3 linked regions of the Solanum lycopersicum genome follow. The protein of the gene in region 3 interacts with the protein of the main gene of each other region in a pairwise test. Links are inferred from orthologs where the notes say so. Each region holds a gene or a part of one and is shown on either strand. Other genes may lie near its edges.

Evidence for each region.
Region 1: the proteins of serrate RNA effector molecule (region 3) and RNA polymerase II C-terminal domain phosphatase-like 1 interact in binary tests that used the Arabidopsis thaliana proteins (3 or more experiments, as listed by UniProt). The link is inferred for Solanum lycopersicum from reciprocal best matches to the Arabidopsis thaliana genes SE and CPL1.
Region 2: the proteins of serrate RNA effector molecule (region 3) and ATP-dependent helicase BRM interact in binary tests that used the Arabidopsis thaliana proteins (3 or more experiments, as listed by UniProt). The link is inferred for Solanum lycopersicum from reciprocal best matches to the Arabidopsis thaliana genes SE and BRM.

Annotation. Positions count from the first base shown.
Region 1 is NC_090801.1:59,404,092-59,411,852, forward strand, and holds part of RNA polymerase II C-terminal domain phosphatase-like 1, read right to left. Parts: intron 7,114-7,761; coding exon 6,637-7,113; intron 6,375-6,636; coding exon 6,164-6,374; intron 6,082-6,163; coding exon 5,924-6,081; intron 5,835-5,923; coding exon 5,764-5,834; intron 5,628-5,763; coding exon 5,522-5,627; intron 5,377-5,521; coding exon 5,293-5,376; intron 5,087-5,292; coding exon 4,502-5,086; intron 4,398-4,501; coding exon 4,337-4,397; intron 3,529-4,336; coding exon 3,398-3,528; intron 3,299-3,397; coding exon 3,245-3,298; intron 2,987-3,244; coding exon 2,890-2,986; intron 1,670-2,889; coding exon 1,449-1,669; intron 1,352-1,448; coding exon 1,265-1,351; intron 42-1,264; coding exon 1-41. UniProt on the Arabidopsis thaliana protein: Processively dephosphorylates 'Ser-5' but not 'Ser-2' of the heptad repeats YSPTSPS in the C-terminal domain of the largest RNA polymerase II subunit (RPB1). This promotes the activity of RNA polymerase II.
Region 2 is NC_090800.1:82,009,511-82,017,888, reverse strand, and holds the start of ATP-dependent helicase BRM, read right to left. Parts: upstream 4,183-8,378; 5' UTR 3,864-4,182; exon of another isoform or gene 3,752-3,863; intron 3,599-3,751; 5' UTR 3,543-3,598; coding exon 3,381-3,542; intron 2,472-3,380; exon of another isoform or gene 1,474-2,471; coding exon 139-1,473; intron 29-138; coding exon 1-28. UniProt on the Arabidopsis thaliana protein: ATPase subunit of a multiprotein complex equivalent of the SWI/SNF complex that acts by remodeling the chromatin by catalyzing an ATP-dependent alteration in the structure of nucleosomal DNA.
Region 3 is NC_090800.1:3,476,930-3,485,216, forward strand, and holds the start of serrate RNA effector molecule, read right to left. Parts: upstream 4,533-8,287; 5' UTR 4,199-4,532; coding exon 3,753-4,198; intron 274-3,752; coding exon 155-273; intron 1-154. Other genes in the region: large ribosomal subunit protein eL30, read left to right, coding at 8,127-8,147, 8,241-8,287. UniProt on the Arabidopsis thaliana protein: Acts as a mediator between the cap-binding complex (CBC) and both the pre-mRNA splicing and primary microRNAs (miRNAs) processing machinery.

The sequences.
Region 1 (7,761 bases), on a different chromosome or scaffold from region 3:
GGACCAATTCCTTTGCCAAATACTTGGCCATCAATTTCCACCTGCAATGTGATTTACCAAATAGACAAAAATAATGTCAGCAAGGCAAGAGATAGTTGCTCTATAGACATGATGATAACTCTGCCATCTTAAGTGCATACTTGTTTCTTGAAACTATGAGAATCACTACTTCGCAAACAAAACTATAAACCAAATCTCCACCAACCATCCACCATTATATGAATTTCTAATATCGAACTTGATGTTTAGCAAAGAATGCTTTCCAGAAACTTCAATATCAGATTAAACATTAAATGTTTTTAACCTACCAAGAGAAAGAACTGAATGCAAAGTTCTTCTCATGTTGCAGGACAAGAAATGTGAATTTACAGTACAATCCTGCTACAGAGCATTGATACTAGAGAATGTACAGTTGGTAATGGAGAAATATTGGATAAGTGGTACAGCAGAAGGTAGAGTGTTTTTTTAAGCTCACAGAGCATGGATGTTTGCTTGACACAGGACAAGCTGCAGAAAAAGGGGCAATTCATCTTCAACAGATGCTATCTAAGAGAGAGGGAAATAGAGGAAAATAAGTCAATTCCAAGTGTGACACAGTTCCAGAAATGTTTTCAAGGTTAAATGGACAATGTCAAAGACCGACCAAGAAGCTATTTGGAAGCTCGAGATAAAGGGGTCTGACTTTTAAGTAAGGGGTCAGGGCCTAACTCCCCTCTCCCAACCAAAATGATGGCCTTCAATATACAAAAGAGGAGAAGAAAAAAAGAGGCGGCTGAGGCTGGGGACTCCAGAGTAAATAGAGAAATAGGATATAGAAAACCAATTCATGTTTGTATTCTCTGGAACATGGAAAGGAAGGAAAGCAGATTTTGTAGAACAGAACAGAAGCCATCAGTAAATTAAAGTTCAATACTGTATGTTACTAGCATACTGGAATATTTGAAAAAAAAATACAGAAAACATGCTAATGGGATACTATCTCTTGAACTTTTGTTAAACATATTCAATATTTATCTTAGTGCTGTTCAAGATTAATAAAATCTTTCCTATAGTGATTATAAGAGAGAGAGAACTAAATGCAAAGGATAAATGACCCAGATCCATCCCGTGAATGAAGCAAAAGGTTGCAATCATTTCAAAATAATAAATGGTATATCGCCTCTAAGCCATGAGTCAGAAAAGATGAAAAGAGTTCCTAACACTACAGCAAAGCATATTTCGATTAATCAGCAATACAAAGAAGAAAAGGAAGTAAATAGGCAACCTGGGCGTATATTTCACTTTTCTGGCCCGGATTAACTGAAAGTTGAGGCTGAGTTTGAAATGCCAAACCAAGTCCTTCAATTGCACACTGAAAGAATCAAAATAATAAATGGCACATCCCAAGACATCAAAAGAAAACTGAGGTAAATAAGGTACACTAACATAGCAAGCTTATAAAATCTTACTAGTTCTCTTAGGGCGCCAACTGAACCCACTGACTTCTTAAAAACCTCAAGCCTTGGATCCAACACTCTGGGAGGCTCTGATGCAAAAGAATGTGAGACACGATCTTGATACCCAAAAGGACTCATGTTCTCAACAAACCCATTATCACTTGCATTTGGAAACCTAAATCCATCACCCTGAGTGGAACTGGAATCAGCTTTGATACATGACAAGTATTTGTCTGTAAAAGCAACATGAAAATGTCAAAATCATCAATCTTATTTGGAAACATAACATTTGACCCGATGGACATCTAAAATTCATGGATATTGCAAATGGTTTGCTAATAAGAAAATATTCCTCTGATTTGCCAACAAGCACACTATATAAGACTTGTGTAGTGCTTATTCAGCAAGAACAATGATAACTATTTACCCCCCATCCTCTCCAACCACAGTATATCGTGGCTAAGTCATATCAATACCAAATTAGGCCAAAATTAGATACCTGTCATCTCTCTAAAGAGTTCCTTAACACAAGGATTAAACAATTAACATCAACATTAAAATTCTCAAGAGTCCTACGTGAAGTAATGTGATCACCAACTATTCTGCCCAAAAAAGAAATGTCCTCCTCTTTCTGAACCCTTTTCCAGGAAAGGGACTGGTCAACAAAACCCCACACATTATTTTTACAATATTCTACTGAAGCATTATGCACACAACTAGAAGGATGACTCCTTGAAAAGAAGAAAAAAGCAGCATCTATGCAAATAATGCAAAACCTCTTTTTTTTATTATTATTATTTTGGTTAGGAGGGGGGAACGGTGTGAGGCCCATTTACAAGTGATGAAGGCCAATCCAACTGATTTTATATATATATATATATATATATATATATATACATATATATACACACACACACACACATATATATACACACACACACACATATATATATACACACAAAAAAATGTACATAAATTGGAGTAACAACCCAACAAACTACTATTTATTTTTGATACAGACAACTCAAACGCAGAACTAAGTAGAGCAGGAAAAGTTGAACTTCACAGAAGCATGAAAGCCTTTTAGCTTGACTCTTATCACTCCTAAGAGTTTTTCAAACTTACTCTCAAAATTTAAATAATTTTCCCAATAGATGAAACAAAATTCACCACTGAAAGATGTCACAGTCAAGTGGAATAAGATCCACTTAACTCAAATTCAGCATAAAATCATCTTAAAGACTGCACAGGAATACTCACAACTCCAAGTGCCAACAACATCAGTTCATAACTTCACTCTATCACCAGGTTTGCTCAAAGAACACTCTATAACCGTGGAAGTGCATGTAGGTTAAGCTAATACAAGGTGATGAAATCTAATCACAGTAAAGCCAACCTTTGAAAAGTCAGATCATTTCCTACAGTAAATTATGACACAACACAACAAACTTACCGGCCAGATACATAAGAGATTCCTCAGCAGCATGTCGTTGCGCTTCCCTTCTCGTCCGGCCGATTCCTTCTCCAACCTTTTCTCCTGCAAACAACACCTATACAAGCAATACAAACTATGACTCAATAAGATGGATAGACCTCAGTAAAAAAGATTGCAGAAAATCAGATAGGGAGCTTGTCCAACAACACAAAAGAAGTGTTGACATTCATGCTACTAAAACATGGCTTGACAGAGCTCACAGGCAAGACAGAAACAAGGCCCATAAGACTATTGTGGTACATTCTTCATTAAGTAAAGGTGAGACTTAAAGCTCATTGGAATAGTAGAACTAGGATATATGTAATCAGCATACCTCCAAGCAGAACTGCAGTTCTGGACTCGAAAGAAAACTTGATCTGAATTCGACCTGCATGTATTTTCCATAAGCATTCAGAGAAATCACAAATAGAAGGGAGGAAACTTTACATTAGTGCTGCCTGATGACTGGACATAGGGGAAGCACTACCTTCACTCCACACTTGAATGCAATATCTTGTAAAGCTCCAGCAGGTGTATCTAGATATGGATCATAATGTCCAGGATCAAGGTCAAGAACCCTGTTGCTGGAAGATGACCGACCCAAGGAAACATCCTCACCTGTGAAACTAGAACTTTTTAACACCATTTCTGAATAGAGATTTAGCTTGTCTCATATTTTTCGTCCAGTGACATCACATAGTTGCATAACAGACCTGTTATTTGCTTTTTCTTTTTTAAAGTCTCATGTGTTTGTTTTATAAGAATATAAAGTGTAGTTATTTAGCTTGTACACATTAAAAAACACTTTTATTTTGATCAACACTGAGATATTATATTCATCGTCTGTGAGGATTCATGTAACTGACCCCATCAGGGCCAGCTTGTGCACATCATGACTAATCCCATGGAGTACCTGCTAACTCCCACCATCACAGGTACAAGGTAACTTTGTCCATCAAGACTTGGACAAGGCATGGTCATTGTATAAACCTAAGCAGAAAGATGCATGCCAAAATGCACTCCTAAAACCAAAATCACATTTGCTTTCATAATAAAAGAAGAAACCTGGGAGGGGGCTGAGGCTAACAAAAGCACTCAACATGAGCCCATACTGCTTAGTTTTGTTTCTCTGGGTGTTAAAAGAGGTCCATACTCCAAAAAATTGTAATATTGTAGGGTAACCTATTTTTGTCCTCTTTTCAGCAGTTCCCACTTCTGAGTTCTGACAAGGATTATAAACTATAGCATCTATTACTGCAAAATTTCAAGTACTTAACAAGCTTTCTGAAAGCAACTTAAAGGAAAAGTGAAAACTAAGAAACAGTTTTTGGTCAACATATGTACCAATCAGAAACCATCTTAAGTTAAAGAATCAAAATGCTTAAGCTTTTACATAACAGTTCTCAAGCGTGGTTCATGGCCATACCTGGTGGGCGAAAGCTAGGTTGTGATTGGGAAAATCTCATCCTGTCATCCCGAGGGATTACCTGGAAACCAAAATGGAAACAAACCAAAAAGAACAGTTAGGTCATAAGTTACTCGTGATAAATGAATTTTCAAAGCTGTTGGCATTAACAAATAGATAACTCACCTCTTTTGGCAGCCTTTGGTTCTCAAAAAAAACTCTATCAGATGGCATAGAAGTCTCCATTTTGGGAAGAAAAGGTGGATGAGGAGGCCGATGTTTGTTAATATGCATAGACTCTGGATTTAAAGGAAATTCCTTGGGAGGTAAGGGTCGATTAAGTTGCCTAGGGCTCACCTCTTCCTCAGCCGGAAACCAACCATGTGGCTGCACCCGTGGTGGCACAGATACTTGTAATGGAGTCCCAATAGGGAACTTTGGTTCACTTGATACTTGATCTCTCGTGTCTTGACCATGCTGCAATATAAGTAATCTCCTCCTTGTATCAGGATCTAATTCAGATTCTGGTACCTCACCCTCTTCCCTAGCAGGAGAACTTTGCAAGCTTGTATCCTGAGGACTTATTTGAGTCACTGATGATTTAAGTACAGAAGTCACTTGAGGGAGATGTTGAGTAGGAAAAGGCACCACTGGGCCTTGAATGCTTGGTTGTGAAATAACAGGTGGGACAGGGTACTGGAGAGCTGGTACAAGTCTTGGATCCAAATTTGTCATTTGAGAAGGAACACTTGTTGAAGCCAACATTGCTTCCTGAAAGGTCGAGATAACTAAATATTACGCTACAGTATCACAAAGAACACAAGTTCCATTACATGCTAGAAGAAAAGATTACACTGTACAGAGGAATGAATTATCAAGAGAGCAGAATAACCACATCCAGCACTTCTGAACCTCATGAAAAGTGTGGATACACATACCCAAACTGAGTACAAGACTCAAATATAACATTATTGTACCTTCAGTCTTCTTTCAACCTCACTATCAGCCATTCCATCAAATCCAAGTGAATCTTTATTCCCATTTACAGCTGAAGGATCATCCTGACAAGCAAATAATATATTCTCTCATAAATATTCATAATAATTTTTAAATTGGTGCAAAATTTTATCATCCATATTGTAGATAATCATAAAAACTAAGATCTGTCAAGAGAAATGGAAACTTTTAGACATCATCCTCACTAACCTCCGAAATCAAATAGTTGCTAACATCGGGAGCAGAAGGAACTTGTTTAATATCATCTTCATATGCAACTTCAGATATTCGCTGTAATAGGCCTTCATCAAAATCTCTGCATAAAGTCAGACCAAGTAAATCTAATTTAGATAAGAAACTAACCCCAAGAGACGACCAAATCTAAATAAAATAAGATAAAATAAGTTGGACAATAAAGATTATTGGCACCAGGTAATCTCCTAAAATCTTACTTGAAAAAACCACCTCTAACATTGCAGGCTACATTTCTGGCAACACAAAGAACAGGAACAGAATTGTTGCCCTACAGTAAAATTATTCAAGTACTTCAGAATGTTAACATATGATATAGTTCAACATCTCATAGAAACACTAAGAGAATGTGGTACATACTTCAGCTTGAGGGGCAAAATATGGAGCAAATGCAGGAACAACGTGCACTCGAGGTTGATCCTTATCATCCCACACTTTCAAGCGATCATCAATCACCAATGCCATCTTAGGATGACAATTTCCATCTTGGAATACATTGAACAAAGATTTCCTCAAGCCTACAAAATAATCATGAAAAGTCAGTGATTAGAGAGAAAAAGAACAATGCACTAGCGAAAGTTTTGTAATTTAGAAACTTGCCAGACTTGACACAGACAATACGATCCAAGAGTTCTTGTGAGTTAATCAAGTTTGAATCTGGATCAAGAAGGCGCCACATTTCTAAAGCATAATCTCTTTCAGCCATTGTGCACACATAAACTTCAAAGCGCTTCCGACCCCTTGCAGTCAGATAGCTGCGGAGATCCTCCCAAGCAGGTCTCAATCTCACAAGAACACTAGTATCACGGATCTGCCATGGAAAGAATATGTGATGCATCCCCCCAAAAAAAGTATGATAAAGCTACAGACCATAAAACAGTTTAATGCAAAAGAGGAAGGGGAGAAAGAAATGGATAGTCCTATCACTGAACCCCTTTCAACAGTAAACGTAAGACTACAAATGACTTGCATTCCTCATCTGGCTGTCAACTAGTCATCAGTGGACCATAAATGACACGATTAACAAAACAGGGATAACATGGTATAGACGATAGAGTACAAAGTCCACATACCATTGGATTAATACGAGTAAGAATAATGTTTCTATCTTGCAACCTAATCAGGGGTCTGACAATAGGTTGGTGATTATCAGACAATGCGGGGAAAACCTCAGACTGAGATCTGATCACCTTTCCATTGTCAACAACCTGATCATTTTCGGCATATTGCTTTAAAATAATTTTATCCTCCTGGTAACGCTTGACCTCAGCCAGCATAACAGAGGCACGTTGCGGATCTGACTCTGAATTTATTTTCCGCTGCAAGGCCTCTATTCTATCCTCAAATGAACGCATTGTGTTGGCAACTATGAGTGTCTCATCAAGATCAAATACAATGCCAAGACACCTGAGGTTTAGCATTGTTAGACAAGAATCATAAAGCCCTGATGCAACCTTAAATCCCCAAAAGCAAGGACATTGTCCGCCAATATTCTTAGACTGCATGGCGACTAAATGAAGTTCCTCTCTTCCAAGTGACATCACTGCAGTCTGCATTAAAAAAATACACGGTAATAACTTTGATAAGCAAGCAATTGACATTTGATAGGGAGACAACGAGAAAGAGCCAAAATAAATACCACATATCAGAGGAAAGACCTCTCAAAAATCTAAGCTACAAATGATACATTTGCAGACGACATGGAAGATGTATTTGTGAAAAGCTTTCAGAATGTTTGTCTATTTGCAACAATTTGAATAGACCTTTTTATATATGTATAGGAACAATTAGAGTAGACCTTCTACATTCAAAAAATAAACAAAATAGACTTTTTATGTTCATCATATCAGAAAGCTATCAATTGTAAAAGAGCTTCAAATACTCTTCGAGTCCTCTTTCAAGTATAGACCCCTGAAGCAAGAATCCCAACCTGATATTTACAAAACAAATGCAGGAATAGAAGTAATCTACATTAGATTCACTAGTTCTTAAAAGAAACCTCAGCTTGACAAGAAATACAAGGACAGATTGCTACTTAAACTAAGTTGCTCGGACTCCGGTGCTGATCTAGAGGTCCAATTCATCATGATCTAAATTTTGAGATTCGATGATAGGGATATAGGTATGGATACGAATGCGGTGGTTCGACTAAAAATAATTCAAATATTTAAAAGTAGAGTTATAAAACCTAAATTAGG
Region 2 (8,378 bases), about 79 Mb from region 3:
ATTCACGTGGTAATGTCCCATCTCCTTTCTACAAGCAAGAAAAAGAAGATCAAGATATATGTAATAATAACAAACTTGAGTATTTTGAACAAGGAAAAGTAAAGTATGTAAACCTGACAGGTACAGTAATGTACAAACCTTTATACGTCTAAATGCAAGTATTTGGGCTTTAAGAACATGCAGTTGCTGCTTACTGAAACCCAGTTGTGGTTGCACCTGACGGACATTTCCACCCTGAGACATAAGGGGATTCCCCGAGTTCCCATCTGGAGAAGAAGCTGCAGAATGTGATGAAGGTCGACTCAACTGCCTGGCATACTGCGTCTGCAAGATTTCTTGGGCATTAGAGGCGGGTTTAGGCAGCGAGGTGTTATCCGCACCCTGGTTTGGGTTTACAGATGACTGTGGGTAATGCATCGGAGGTAATCCACTGCTAGCCATAATTGGTTGTCTAGGAGGCAAATTGTTCTCTCTGCCATGAGCAGAAAACTGCTGCTGAGGAATATTATTTGGGTTATTCACTGAAGCTACACTATGAGACGCAGTGAGAGGACCAGTTGTAACAGCCTGCCTAGTTTTAGCAGAACTTGACCCCGACAAATCACTTGAAGAATGAGCATGGGGCGAACTGTCATTTGCAACTTGAGGTGATGAAACTTGCTGCTTTGGCATATGACCTGATGAAGATTGAACTGGCACATTGTTTTCAGGCACTTTCTGCTGGGCAATCATTCTGGACTGCATGAGCGGAATTAGCTGTTGCATAATGTTAGCATTTGCAGGTAGTGACAGATCAACATTACGTTCATAAGCCAGAGCCTGCATTGCCTGCATTGCCTGCATCTGTGCAGCCATAGCAAGAGAGTTACTCGCCATGTTCGCCATGCTTTGCTGAGATGGTGGCGCCTGCATGGGCTTCGTAGCTACCGTTTGGCCAAGCAATGTTGGCTGGGAAGGAAGCTTTGGGTCTGGCCTCTGATCGGTCATAAACTGCTGTCCCTGGTCTGATTGTTTCTCGCTACGAGAGAAAAGTTGCTCAGAGGATATCTTTGATGATGATGCTTGGGCCTGGTTCGGTGCCTGCATGGAAACGAGTTCCTGAATTTTCATATTAGCAAGTCTAGGATCTTGGTCCTTTGCAGAAGGCCCAAACATTCCCATTTTCATTTGCTGCTGATGTTGCATCCCAAGAGCGGACTTCTGTTGTGCTGCCTGGAAAGCATACTGCAGGTATGCCTGTTGGACAGGACTCAACATCGGTTGCTCAAAGCCCTGGCTCCTGTTCTGTCCATCCTCTCGAATGGTGGGAGAATCATGCTGTTCAATATACCTCCTCGACTGCTGAGGCAGCTGCATGGATCCAGAAGGTCCAACAAAATTACCCCCACCTAAAATTCCATGGGGACTGCCAGTCTGGAAGGCCAGAATAGCTTCGTTTCCTTCAGGCCTTCTAAGTAACTGTTGTTGTAATGACTACAAAACGAATATCCGATAAGTGATATGTAAAAGTTATTTATAAAAGAAGGTGAGTAATTTAAATAAGACCTAGATTATTGTGATCTTCCTTATTTTTGACAATAAGCCACCACGATATTTTCAGCAGGGGAACATAATAAGACACTAAGATTAAACACAAATCAGTTCGAAAAGAGCAGCTATCATGATTCAACATAACAAGTTTTGACACTTTATTTGAAAACATACCTGGTAAAATATTGTTTCAAAAATAATTTAAAAAAAGGAACAACAATCTCTCCAGACATCAGTAGTTGGAAGCAAACAACGCAACAAAAGTACATGGAAAAATATTATAACAATATAGCATACAAGAAACTCGAGAGAAACTGGTATGACTGACAAAGTTGATAATGCTGAAGGTTAAATACTGCCAGTCAAAAGCATGAAAGAATTTCTAGGGAAATTTGCAGCATTCTGAAGGACAAATACTGCCAGTCAAAAGCATGAAAGAATTTCTCGGGAAATTTGCAGCATTCTATGCACATATTGGACAAAAATACTCTGGTTTAGTTAAGCAACATCTTATTTCGTCCTGTGCTGCAATTCGTCTTCTTCAGTTCACTTTTAATAAATGTGTTTCCTGTTAAGGATAATCAACTCAGAAATCAAATACAGTAAAATTTTAGAAATGAGGACAATTACAACTTTTCAGAGTATCATTAAGTATCAAATTTGGACAAAATGTGTCATATGTATGGACGAAATAGAAGTTTGCACTCCATAACCTAAGAAATGACAATTAATCTGGTATGAGTTAAGAACATCATTGCAGTTAAGAATCACATGGACAAAATGTTGCATATCACGTATGGACGAAATAGAAGTTTGCATTCCATAACCTAAGAGATGACAATTAATCTGGTATGAGTTGAGAACATCATTGCTGTTAAGAATCACACGGACAAAATGTGGCATATCATGTATGGACGAAATAGAAGTTTGCATTCCATAACCTAAGAAATGACAATTAATCTTGTATGAGTTGAGAACATCATTGCAGTTAAGAATCACATGGAAAAAATGTGTCATATCATGTATGAACGAAAAAGAAGTTTGCATTCCATAACCTAAGCAATGACAGTTAATCTGGTATGAGTTGAGAACATCATTGCAGTTAAGAATCACATGGACAAAATGTGTCATGTGGATGGACGAAATAGAAGATTGCATTCCATAACCGAAGCAATGACAGTTAATCTGGTATGAGTTGAGAACATCATTGCAGCTAAGAATCACATTAACTTCCAATACTGTTGGAAATATAAACCTTTTGAATAGGTCAAGGTTAAAATATTAAAGACCTGGCAGAGACGAGCACTTAAAATAAGGAAGAAAAGGTGGAACTATCTATCAAGAAAAAGAAAAATAGGAATCACAACATGCTAGACAATACGTACTTGGTGGAACTTAACACTTCCATTAGAGGGAAGACTAAGATACACAGAGTTAATTCTCTGAAAAGTGAATTTTGGATAACTCTAAAAATCAACAAGCGCTAATACATTTTTCAGCACAAAAAATGCTCTTTCTTACAAAAAGCAAATCACTCTCTCCTTCATACAAAGATTTTCAAATTCCTCCTACTTCCAAAGCTTAAGTAGTTTAGCAGCTGGCATCTCAGTGCTAATTGAACAAGAAAAAGAATGTCTTTCACATAGCAAGCAAATTCATGTCACTTCAAACCTAGTGTTGAACAACATCATACAAAAAAAAAAAGAACTTGATGTCTTATGCGAAACCCACTTCCAAAATAGAATAACAAACATCAATCCTACTTCAGAAAAAAACAAAATGCCACTTGAAACACCCCCTCTTCCTCAAAAGCACAAGTAAAATTCAGAAAAAAAGTTGTTAACCCTAACCTGCCGCTGATGCTGTTGATGCAGCTGCTGCTGATCCAACCCCATATGAGAGGCAGAAGAAGATGATGTTGGAGAAGCTGAGGCTGATGCCGCCGTGTTCCGCCCATGTCCACCACCGGCGCCGGCGACACCACCTTGCTGAGCTCCACCCCCAGATTGCATGCACCCTTGAAAATTCAGCAAAAAATTCTATTTCCTCCAAAAATGTTGCAACTCACCTGAAATTTAATTGATTAATTTCAGAACCCCATCATCAAGAAAATAAGTAATGAAACATTAATTTCAGTGGAAACCCCTGTAGTTTCCTAAAACCCAAGATTTCCCACTTTCCCCGATCCCCAAGGTTCAAATCAACCACCCACCCCCCTTACCTCACCACTCTCTACACCTCTCTGTCCCACACAACTGTACTTTATCTATAAAAATTTTCTCTCTTTTTTCCTGTATGTATAATTTCCTTATTTTCTTGATAAAAAAAGCTACCGAGAATTTTGCTGAGGGTAATGGTGAATGGATTTTGGCGCGAATCTGTGGGCCTATGATAAGATCGGAAAAGTCGCCGGCGATCTTCCGAAGTTGCCGGAATCTCTCTCTATATATGCTGTCTGGTGTGTGTATGTGTGAATTTTCACGCAGTTTGCATTTTTAGTCCAAGCCCTAACAGCTGTTATTTCTATGTGCTTCTCCTTTTTCCCTTTTTTTTTTTTTACTCCTATTACATTAAAATGACAACAAACAATTTTTAGAGATTTGAAAAAAAAAAATTAATTTTGTGAAAAAATTTGCAATATTTTTGTAAATTATATTCCCCTTAAAAGAGTTTTCTATTTATCTAAGTTTTAATGGATTCTATTAATGTATTTGATGAGCAATAATAAATAAATTATATACGTGTAAATTGACATATATATTATGAATATGAAATTAAAAAAGTCATATAAAGAAGTAATATAAATGAAAAATGAAAAATGTGCGATGATTAATGAGCTTGTGAAACTCAAAATCTAAAATATGGTAATTTAACTTGTTATAGCATGATAATAAGTATTTATTATTTTATCATATCATGATTAATAGATATCATTATTATTTAAATAAATAAATACCTTTATAATTGATGTGATTATTTTTCTATAGTGAGACTATATTATTACATTACAAGTAATTATGTGAACGCTATAAAAGATTTTTTGACTGGTAAAAAATTTATCACTCTTCTTTTAAGAAATCAAATAATATAAATATTGTATATTTTTATCATATAGATATGGAGAAAATTTACAATTTATTGTACTTTTATAAAAAAAAAATTAAATATCTAAATTTTTAATTTAATTTAATGTTGATAATCAATTAAATTAATTTTGAATACTATTTTGGAACTGGTTACATTTTTGTTTTTGTAATTATTTTTGTAATTTGTATGTATGGATTCTTTTAAATTTTTGTTGTCTTTTTGCTCAACAACTTGGGTTTACCTTGGGTTAAGGGCTGGTTAAGGTATAGAGAGGTTAGGTTAGTGGAATTCATTTAACCTCAGAAAACGTAATATTTACCAAAATACCAACATTTTATAATATATGGAAATCTGATTACGTAATAACGTGTGTCGACGGATATTCCTATTTGGCTTTGCATTTTCAGTCTCTTTTTAGTATAATAATAATAAGAATAAAAAATAATACCAATTTAAGAAATATTAATTTTAACATATATTTTATTTTATGTATGTTATAAAAAAATGTTAAATTAAAAGTAAAATAATTTATTTATTGAAATATGCGCGAAAGGAATTCATTCGACTTTTTATTTGAAAAATTATTATATAGAGCATAACTTCAGAATTTTACAATTCGAATTTTAACTGATTTTTGTCTGAATTGTATAAATATGAATGTATAAAAGAAAATCACATAAATTGATAAATATTGTTTTGGCAACTATAATTATGAAAAGGAAATCGTGAAAAGAGATATTTGAATCCTAAAAATCTAAATAGATTATTTACACGTATTTTATTTTACTCTATTGGACATAATAACTTACCACATTTGTAATTAAATAATAATGTCGATAAGATTAGTTACGAAGAGAGAATTGAGTTTGAATTTTTAGAAATAAACGTATATATACTTATATCTTAAATAACTCTTGCACAAATATAAATTTAATTGAATCTTGATATCAAAATAAGATCAACACTAAAAAAAATGTCTTAGTGGCTAGGAATATCCAAAAATAAACAAACTTAAATCCATGAATATGAATTACGAGGACCAAAAAAAAAAAGTAAAAATAGTGGAGTGGTAAATAATATTGGTTTTTTTAATTAGGAAACACATAACTATTTTTGTGTAATTAATTTAATTATCAAATGTTGGCTATCATATGTGTACAGCAATTTAAAAATGGAAATAACCTGTAATTTACTTATTTTGATAATTTAAAATATCAAAAAGAAAAACAGACTATCTTGCAAGATGGGAAAGTATATGTTGGATATCATTTTAATTGAATTACGTGAGAAATGAAAATAAATTATTTTAAGTAAATAAGGATATCAAATATTAGGAGTTCTCAAATAAATAAATAGCTTTCTAGTGAGGATTATGACACTGAGAGCCTGTTTGGCTCAGCTTAAAAGCTGATCAAACTGACTTAAAAGCTGGTGTTTGACTTATTTAGCTGTTTGGCAATACTCTAAACAGCTTATTTTAAGTTAAAAAAAACTTATTTTAAGCCAAAAGTTAAAAGCTGGGGTATGGGTGCTTTTTTATTTTTAGCTTATAAGCTGTTTTAAGTTGACCACATTTTTATCTTTTTGTGCTTAATATTTTTATACAATCTCCAAATTACCCATATAACCCTAACATTTCTTTCTTCCATTTATCCCTTTTCACGTTTGACATAACAACTTCAGCACTTTTATCCAAACACATAACTGCTTATTTTTAAAATAAGTTTCAGCACTTTTAAAAGTACTTTTTTAAAGCTGCTTTTATTAAGCCCATCCAAACGGGCCCTAATAGTGGGTTGATTCTAATTTTAAGGTATTGAAGTTAAGGAAAAAGAGTTCCAAAAATATTTTACCCCTTCACTATTTAATAGTATATTTTAAAGATATATATGTGCTCACGTGAATATAGTACTGTTTATAATTATGCAATATCTTTTATGTCCGTGCGAACACATATATACCTTTAAAATACATTATTCATTAGCAAAGGGGCAAAAGATCATTTCCAAAGTTTTGTATCATAACAACAATTCTAATCAAAATTCAGACATATTTCAGATATTTTTTCCTTTTAAGCTATTTAAGTTATGTAGTATCGAGGTGTACTCAAAACTTTTTGGTGCTTCGATCAGGTCGGAGGACTTTCTTTGTCCTACTTGGCCAATCACGTTTTCTATTTTTTTTCGATTTTCGATGAGTAACTTCTTTTGTTTGAAAGTTATCGATGTAATATATGTATTTGTCGTTTATCTATTGGTAGGGTCTGATAGTTCTACTAGCTAATGAGCAGCTTTTGGATAAAGTCGGTGGGGCCCTATGGGCATGCATTTCCACAAACACGAGCACCGTTTTTCAACAAAAATAAAGAAGCAATAGATTCCAAACACTACACATTCAAAAGAAGAAAAATCATTATTTCTGATAATATAATAACTTTAAATATAACTAGTTTTTCAACACGTGTGTTGCACGTGATTGTCAATTGTCAATTCAAAAAATTCTCAATGAGCAATTTCTTTTGTTTGAAACTTATCGATTTAATATATATGATTGTCATGTATCCTGTAATGAGGTCCAACTATATCGATTAGCTTGTGAGTCGTTTTAGGATAAAGCAGTTGGGGCCCTATGGGCGGACATCTCCACAAATACGAGCACCGTTCTTCAACTAAAATAAAGAAGCAATAGATTCCAAACACTACACATTCAAAAGAAGAAGAAGAAGAAAAATCATTAATTTCTGATGATATCATAACTTAAAATATAACTAGTTTTTCAACACGTATGTAACACGTGATTGTCAATTTAGAAAATTCTCAATGAGCAACTTCTTTTGTTTCAAATTTATCGATTTAATATATATGATTGTCGTGTATCTCGTGGTAGGGTCCAGCTAGTTCGACAAGCTAGGAGCCGTTTTTGGATAAAGCAGGTGGGACCCTGTGGGCAGGTGTTTCCACAAACATGAGCACCGTTCTTCAACAAAAATAGAGAAACAATAAATTTCAAACACTACGCACTCAAAAGAAGAAGAAGAAAAATCATTATTTTTTATGAGATCATAACTTTAAATACAACTAGTTTTTCAACACGTGCATAGCACGTGATTGTCAGTTCAGAAAATTTAAGCGGAGATTCAAATAATAAGGTTTGTACAAAAATATTATAAATTCTTTTTAATGTTCAATGTGGATCTTTATATATTCATACGAACCTATGAAGATAGTCAAATATAAAAAATTTATTAGTTAAATGAAATAATTTGTATATTTTTTTGCAATTTAATGAGGTTCAATCATGTAATTAGTCGTATCTCACCAATATTACCTTATAAACTACATTTGTTTTGTGTTTTCTTTGTCATCTAATCAGATGTGCTTCACGTGTATTTCACTTAATTTGTTTCGATGACATACAAACATGTGGAGAACAACTATATTTTATTTCTAGAACTATTTTTGTATATTAAATTTTATGTTATAAGTTATAACATAATAGATGACATTTTTTTGTTGGCTCTTATATTTGACTTCTCGTTTGACTGTTTACATAAATGATAGATAGTTATCGAACTGTCCATAATTAACTAAGAAAGGTTTCCTTCTTTTTACTGTAAAACTAAAATTAAAATTAGAAAATATATCCTAGCTGTGAAATCATATATATAGTCACCTTTTTTTATACCCAACAAAGATATAGTTCACATACTTGTAAGTAATTCTAAATTAATTCAACCAATCAGGATTCGTCAAAGAAAAAAT
Region 3 (8,287 bases):
AAATCCTATAGAGCAACGAATATTTACATAAAGCACCCCAAAAACACATATTACTCAAATAGAAGTTAAGACTTTACAAAGCAGAAACACTACACATTTAACACGCCCACTGATAGCAGATACTCCATGAGAGTAAAATATAAATGAGACTGACCTCCTCCTCGATAGCCACCAGACGAGCGTCCTGCAAATCGTCCATGATGCCTCTCATCAGGATAACCAGGTCTACCCCCCATCTCACGGTCATAACCTCCTTGATGGTCATAACCATATCTGCAATATCAAGAAGATTTCGTAAGCACCATCATAAGAACACTTGCAAGATAATTTGACAACAGAAAAGATCAGATTTGTAAATGCAAAAAAATTGCAAGACAAGAATTATGCAAAAGGACAAATGCCATAAAAGCATGAATAATAAAGAAAACACAATGAATGATGCTACTTTGGACGACTAGAGAAGTGTGCAAATAAAGACAAGAAAAAGAGGCAGAAATTCGTTAGTTTCCTCAGGTATATTTTTGTTCTTATTTAACAAATAAACGGCTGATCGTGCTTTTATCTGTTCTAATCTGTGCATGTCATTCTTTAGTAAGGACTCCCTTGCACAAAATAGACTTGACAGTAATTGAGAAGTGCAACTCAAAAGGTCAATACACTGTTGGGAAATGGATATGTTTGCAGTTCGCCAGAATAAAGATGTTCACCATTGATGTGATCCTGAATAAGTTTAATGACCTCTGGTCATGGAAGCTGATACAGAAAACTGAATTGCCCACCAAGGTTATATGCTTCAATTTGGACTATTCTAACTGGGTCATGTTTAACACAAGACACCCTCACAGAAAAGGCTTCCAGCAGTCAACCTCCTGGAGAGTGTCAGTCGCTTCTTTCCTACATTGTTCAGTGGCCACTGAACTGCAGAATATGTTTTACTGTATTTTTGGTTTGAATTGGGTCATGCCACATCATATGAGAGAGACTTATAAAAGAAGAAGTTCACAGAGAGTTGAGAAGCCCATCAAGAACATTTAGTTGATGATTCCTGTAGTTATTTTTTGGTGTTTGTGGAGCGAAAAGAACCAAACGTGATCTTATGAAATTCTCAACTCCAAATGACACTCTCAAGGAAAAATGTTGCTTATCCTTTTTAGCTGGTTAAGTTAACACCTGTAATTAGCAGTTGCTGATATTAGAACTTTCTTAGCTCCCTAGAATGGACTGACACACTGTAACGAGGATAACAAACTCTTTGATATGTACTTTTCTATTTCTGTTTTTGTGATTATGCATCTTCTTGATGGTTCTTCAATTGAAATACCACTACTTCATCAAAAAATTATCACCATATGTCATTGGATGCAAGAACTCACTACAGAGTAAGCTAGAAAAATACAAATATCTTTAGATAACAGTTTTTTGTGTTCATATTGGATTTCTCTAACATCAGGAAACTTGCACCAACATATCAAAGGTTGCTTGATAGATCTAACACACTCCGTAATCTCTAATCTAATGTTTAGAAACCTAAGAAAGTGAATGATTTTAGCTTCAGAATAAAAGTTGGTAAGTTAAAATGAAGTCGAACAATTACGCTATGAAGGTTATAAGGTGATTCTAAGATTGTTCTGCAACTCTTCAGGTATACAGCAAAATAATACCATGGTTCCTAGATTCTACAGAGGTGAAATAACAGCTTGTAGAATCTATTTTCCTGATCACCAGTGGTCTGAGTGAGAATTCCTAACCGTAACATCAACTAATTTTCTTGAAAGCTGCAGCGGACCTAAAAAATTTTATCGGATTTCCATTTGCTCCTCAATAATATAAATTGGAGGATTTCACGCATAACTTACAGTCCATATAATCCTTTTATTTCCTACGATTACTCTGTCATCACTGATCTCTGGTCATAGGGTTTCCAAATGAGTGTTGATTATTGTCTACATTTTATAAAGCTTAGCACTAGAAATAACTTAACCCAGGCTGTTTTCTGTTCACTAGAGTATGCAGCAACATATTTTTTACTGACAAATCCTGTTAGACAGCACTGTGTTAAATGCAAGTAGAGTATTAAGAACTCCAAAAAAAAATTTTAAAAAAAAAAACAGCAATTCATATTCCCAAAGGCGTGGATGGTACTCCTTCATGTAATTATGCGAACAATTACGTGATCCTAAATACTTCTGAAGCTGTATCAGTACACCATGTTAACTGGTCAAAAGCAGCTTGTTTACAGTTAATTCAGTCCAGAATATGCAGGTTTTGGCTACCAATCTTGCATGTCAAATAGAAAGTCTCCCCACAGAGTACTTGGGGATGACTTAAGGGGCAAAACAGGTAGCAGATTCTATTTGGCATGGTGTTATAAGGAAATGTGAAAAGACATTGGCTAACTGGAAGAGACAATACCTCTCTCTTTGGGTCACTTAATTCCATGACATCTTATATTATGTCTCTTTGTCCAATACCCATCAGGGTAGAAAAAGTTCAAGAACTTCCTCCAAGTCGAATGGAGTACCGTCACATCAATCAAGAAAAAAAGGGAGGAATGGAAGAAGATTAGGGATCAAGAACTTGAGGACACAAAACACGAGCCTTTCGATGAGATGGTTATGCAGATTTAATTTGGAAGACAGTGCACTAGGGAAGAGGGTAACCGCATTGAAACATTTTCAATTGAATGAATGGTATTCAATTATAGGAGGGCCGCCGCAGGCAGACGGACATTGGAAAAATCAGAGCACTATGGCCAGCTTCTCCCAGGGCATTAGCTATCAAGTAGGAAGAAGTATCTCCTCCTTGCTACCATTTTGTGCTTAATACATCCAACTTGATAGCTTCTCAAAAAAAAAACATCCTCCAATTTCATGTTTACATACAATGTTGGCACCTTAATATGTCTGCTAGCATAGACAGACAGAATTGCAGCATCTGTCATCAACATGTCATTGAGCTTGAACTAAACAAAAGGTTTGTCGGTCATCACTAAAGAGTCCATTAGTATTTGAATGAAACAGACACAGTGGGCGGAATAAATGTAGGAAATTGATATAACCAACTTATCTAGTACATGATTAAGGTGTAATCAGATATGAGCATTATACACCATACCAAAACCGGAACCTCAGAGAAGCTACATTTTTCAAAAAATATGTGCATTATGGGAAGGACCAAAACTGGTACCTCACAGAAGCTAACTTCTTCAGCTTACACCACTGTTCTAATAGTACTGAACCCTCAAAAAGCCCAAACATAACCTTTGTCAGCACCTAAACATTCTCATAGCAATTTCTTAGGGGAAATGGGTAATGCCCTGGAAAGTGTACTGTATTGCTGTTGCATATACTAATCCAACACACTAATGGACCAACAAATGCTATATTTCACCATATTTATTATAGTATATAAGTTCTTACTACTCCTTTCTTTCACTACCCAGGTCCCAGAAATCTACTATTTTTCAGCTTGAATTATATAGTAAATAAGTTCTTCCTACTCCTTCCTTTCATCACCCAGGTCCCAAAAATCTACTATTATTCAGCTTAAAACAAGGTGAATCATGAGTCTGCGCGTCTGCCATCCTCCACTTAATTATTTATGTAATCCTACTACATAGCCATAACATGCCTCAGTAACAACCTAACTGCGGCCATCCATAAGAAATCCCACTGATTGGCTAAACAGACTGATAATCGAAGATTTATAAGAGAATTTCCAATCATATGCGGAGAAAAAGCTTCGTAATTTACCTTCGATCACCATGCCCAAAACCACCTCTAGGACTTCCACGGCGTCCATCATAGTCATCTCTACGAGAACGCTTATAAGGTGGAAATGGAGGCGAACGACGGTGAGGAGGAGAATATCCACCACGTCGGTCACGATAAGGAGGAAGAGGAGGAGGAGGGCTATGGCTAGGCCTTCCACGTTTGTAGTCACGCTCTCGACCAGGAGGATGATGAGGAGGAGAACGATTACGATCGTAATAGTCCCCACGACCACCTCTACGATCAAAATCCCTGTCATCCCTCCGTTCCCGTGAATCTCTATCACGGCCACGCCTCGACGGCGGAGGAGGAGGAGGCGGTGGTGGAGAAGATACCGGTGGCTCTTCCGTCGACTTGTTTGGATTTTCCTTGCTTCGTTCACGGCGGCGTTCTAAACCTTCCGACGGAGCGTCCATTACTTCAGCCATGGGCGGCGACGGTGGCGGTGAATCGTCGGGAAGAGAAACCCTAGCTGAGAGTGCAGTGTTTGTTTGTAGATGTGGAAATTAAGAGTGACAAATGGAGAATAAAAGATTGGTGAGGGAGTGGAAAGTAAATAAGATTTTTGAGTTTTAAGGAGATAAAAGGTTTTCATTTACAACCCCAAAAGTATTCTTCAATTACTTAATTTCCCCACAAAAAGAAGATTTTGATTTTTAACTCCACTAACTTTTTCTATTTCACTTCTACTATACAAATTTTATCCTCCATTTCCGAGTGTTTTGATAAATTTTAAAAATCTTTAAAAATAACATAGTTATAAGTTTTTTTTTTAAAAAAAAAAGGGTCATTTGTGTGTGTATGTGTTTGCGTGTATGTGCGCGTGGGTGAGTGTGCGCGAATATACGCGTACGTGTACATGTGGGTGTCTGCGCGTGTGGGTATTTATACCAAAAATAACATAAATTGTATTTAGGAGATCTAAACATATTTGAATGTGAATGAACATTTGAGAAACATGTAGTTTTTTACGAAGACACTTGTGAATCCATTTATGTGAAACAAAAATTTCTTTCTTCTGCTTTGTCTAAAAACCTTTAAGGTGTGTTTGGAAAATCAGCTTGCTAGCTGATTTGATATAATTGAGTGCAATTACATTGTATGGCATGTTTGGTTGGTCATCTATTTAATTACTTGGTCAGCAGGTAATTGAGCGTAATTGACAGAGATAATTACATTATTTTAATCATAGAGGAGTTGCGAATTGCTGATAATAATTAAATGGTGTAATTATAAGTTGATTATTTCTTCCTTATATTTCTAATTTTTTTCGTTTAAATTTATTTTTTATTTTATTATTTTAAATTCTTTTTTATTTTTATTAATATTCTAATTGTTTTCTAAAAATATACATTTATATTTTATACTATCTATATTTCATTTCCTTCTCATTATCAATCATTACTTCATATGATTTCATATAATTTTTCGTATTATCTATAAGAATTTTTTATCAGTATAATTTTGTTAGTATTTTAATTTTTAAATTAGAGTAGAATTTATTGTTGAATAAGGTTATGAACTTATATTTTTTTTTTTTTAAATCATGTTGAGGTATGTTATGTTGGAATTTGATATAAGAGTATTACATTAAATTTTTTGTTTTAAATTTATAACTTATGTTATATTTTCAATTTCATTTGTTTTAGAAGTATTGACCAGATATTTTATGTTGCATACTATTTTTTTTAGTTAGACTTGATAGATTATCTTTCTGTTAAATGTTTTTATAATTTTATGATATTATATTTATAATATTAATCTTTTTGTCAAACACGCATTTCATGATGTGCTTTTAACTTTAATAATTAATTTAATTAAAATATACTAAATAAAAAATATAAATAATTTATTTTTTATAATATTAATTAAGAACATACGTTTATTAATTAATATATTTTCAAAAGGCTATACATATCTCAAATATAATATTTAATATCATTAACAAAGATCTTTAATTATTTGTCTTATATGAATCTTGCTAAATTATTTATAAATGCTTTTAGTTTGTGTTAACTTAGATACGATACCTAATTATAAAGTTCACTAGCTCGAGTTGGATCTATGAATCCAATATCTCAATTTCACAATCATGTCCTAACTAGTTAGAGTTGGCTATATAATACAATTATTTCAATTTCACTGTTTTCAGGTCTATTTTAAATCTTGTTGATAATGAAATTTTATTAATAAATTTATATTAAATCTTAAATTTATCATAGAAAGTAAAATTATTGGTTAATAAAGTTAAATTAATATTTAATTTAAAATTATATGACTTAAATCAAGTGCAAATTATATTTGGACCAATATATCAAGTTGACAAAATGAGCTCAAATACTCATGTTCTTCAAGCCAAAGGGCCAAAATTGTTTGGACCAAAATATCTCCAAAACTCTAGTTCAAACATATATAAAGAGGTCTCTATAAGACTCTGCAAGTCTGCTTCAAATGTTGAGCCGCAAGTATTTCATCAAGTCAAAAACAATTCTGAAGAAAAGAATTAGGGAATCACATATGTTTTCTTAAAGATTTTATAAAGATGGCAGCCTTCACATAAATTTAAATACAAATACTATTGTTGCTTGTTGTTTTCCTTTCATGTTTGTTGTAATTCATGATCGAAATTTTAATGCATAATATTCAATAATAGAAAATCTGAAACTATAAGCTTTTGTTTAGATGTTAATTTTGGGATTAATGTCTCCTAATTTCTTTTGATTGTTGAGATAACATGAAGAGACATTGATAAAATTTATTTTGCATACAATTGAAACAAAGTAAAATGTATGTATATTGCATAATTATAAGTGTATAGGAAAAAGATATATGTTTTTCTCTCGCTTTATACAAAAACAGAAACACAATATATACACTTCTGTTGTATAAAGCGAGAGAAAATTGTATTTCACTACAATTGTATAATTCGCTGGCCTTTTTCGCTGCAATATTTGTATAAAATTTGCATTTGTCTACAATTGAATTGAAGTAAAATGTTTGTAAATTGTATAATTAAGTGTATAGCACGAAAATATATGTTTTTGCATGTGTATATACAATTTTTTCCCGCTTCATACAAAACAGAAACACAATTTATACACTTCTGTGTATAAAGCGAGAGAGGCGAGCAGAGGGAGAGTGGCGAACGAGATTTTTGGGAGAGAGGCGACTGACAAACTTTGGCGAACGTTTGCTATGGAGCATAATTAAATTAAACCGTAGTTACTCCATTTATTTTAGGTTATTAGTTTGCTATTATATACAATTATCCCTTATTTTTATCCATTCCATGTAAAAGTGTTTGCATTTCAATCTTATAATACCTAAAATATTTGAACGTGTTTATTTGTTACATTCTTTGGACAATTTCAATATCTAGTGATGCACAATTAAAATTAAAATTTATAGATATCAAGTATAGCCAAATAAAAAAAAATTATTTATGGAAGAATTATGGAATAAGTAAAAAATTTAACTCATTTATGAAAAGATAGAATTAGTTCAAAAATATTACAAAAGAAAAAAAACAATAACAACAATATATTGTTTTTATAACAACCTCTCTCTCCAATTGTATTCAATTAAATATATATACAAGCTTTGAATCTTATTTTAATTGTTTTTGAAAAATTGTATTTTGTATTTTTTGTATCAATTGTATTTGTAATCATACGAAATACAATATGAATTCATTCTCTCTTTCAAAATGTATTTGTATTCAAACAAAGAGAGGATGCATACAATTGTATTCGTTGTGTTCCAAATACAATTGATACAAAACAAATACAAAATACAATCCACTGGCCTCCCTCCCTCGATCTCACTCGCTTCTCTCCTCCCTATTTCGATCTCGTTCACCTCTCTCCTTTTAATATGTACTCATTTTTGATATAATCAATTTGTAGATGTATTTTTTTCTACTAAATCTGCGAATAAATACACTCTCTCTCAGATCTAGCGTCTTTACTCCCCTAATATTTTGCTATTAATCGTAATTGAATAAACTATAACTATAGAACCCTGTTTAATGCATAACGTTTGTTATTTTTGAAAGTTTTCTATTATTTATTATTTCTAAATTTTGTATTTTCATAAAAAAGATTATTTCCGTTAAAAGATAAAAATTAAAGACTAACGCAAAATAAGGAAAAAATGTGTTGGGTTGATAAAATATGGGCCGGGTATTACTATGGCAATTTGGGCTTTTAAGTCTTCAAACCCAAACCCTAGAGTACTTCATCAGCTTATATATTGCAAACCTCTTCACACATTTCTGGGTTCGTTCGCCGCCGTCGACGTAATTTGCTTCTTCAAATCCTCCATCTCCGACGTTGTTCTTTCTCACCGGAATCCACGATGGTGGCTGCAAAGAAGACCGTAAGTATCTCATTCTTCGTTCAATCGATTTGTGTGGACGAATCGGATCATGAAAATGCTAAATTAGGATTTTTTTTTTTGTGAATTTTGCAGAAGAAGACTCATGAGAGTATCAACAACAGGCTCGCTCTTGTTATGAA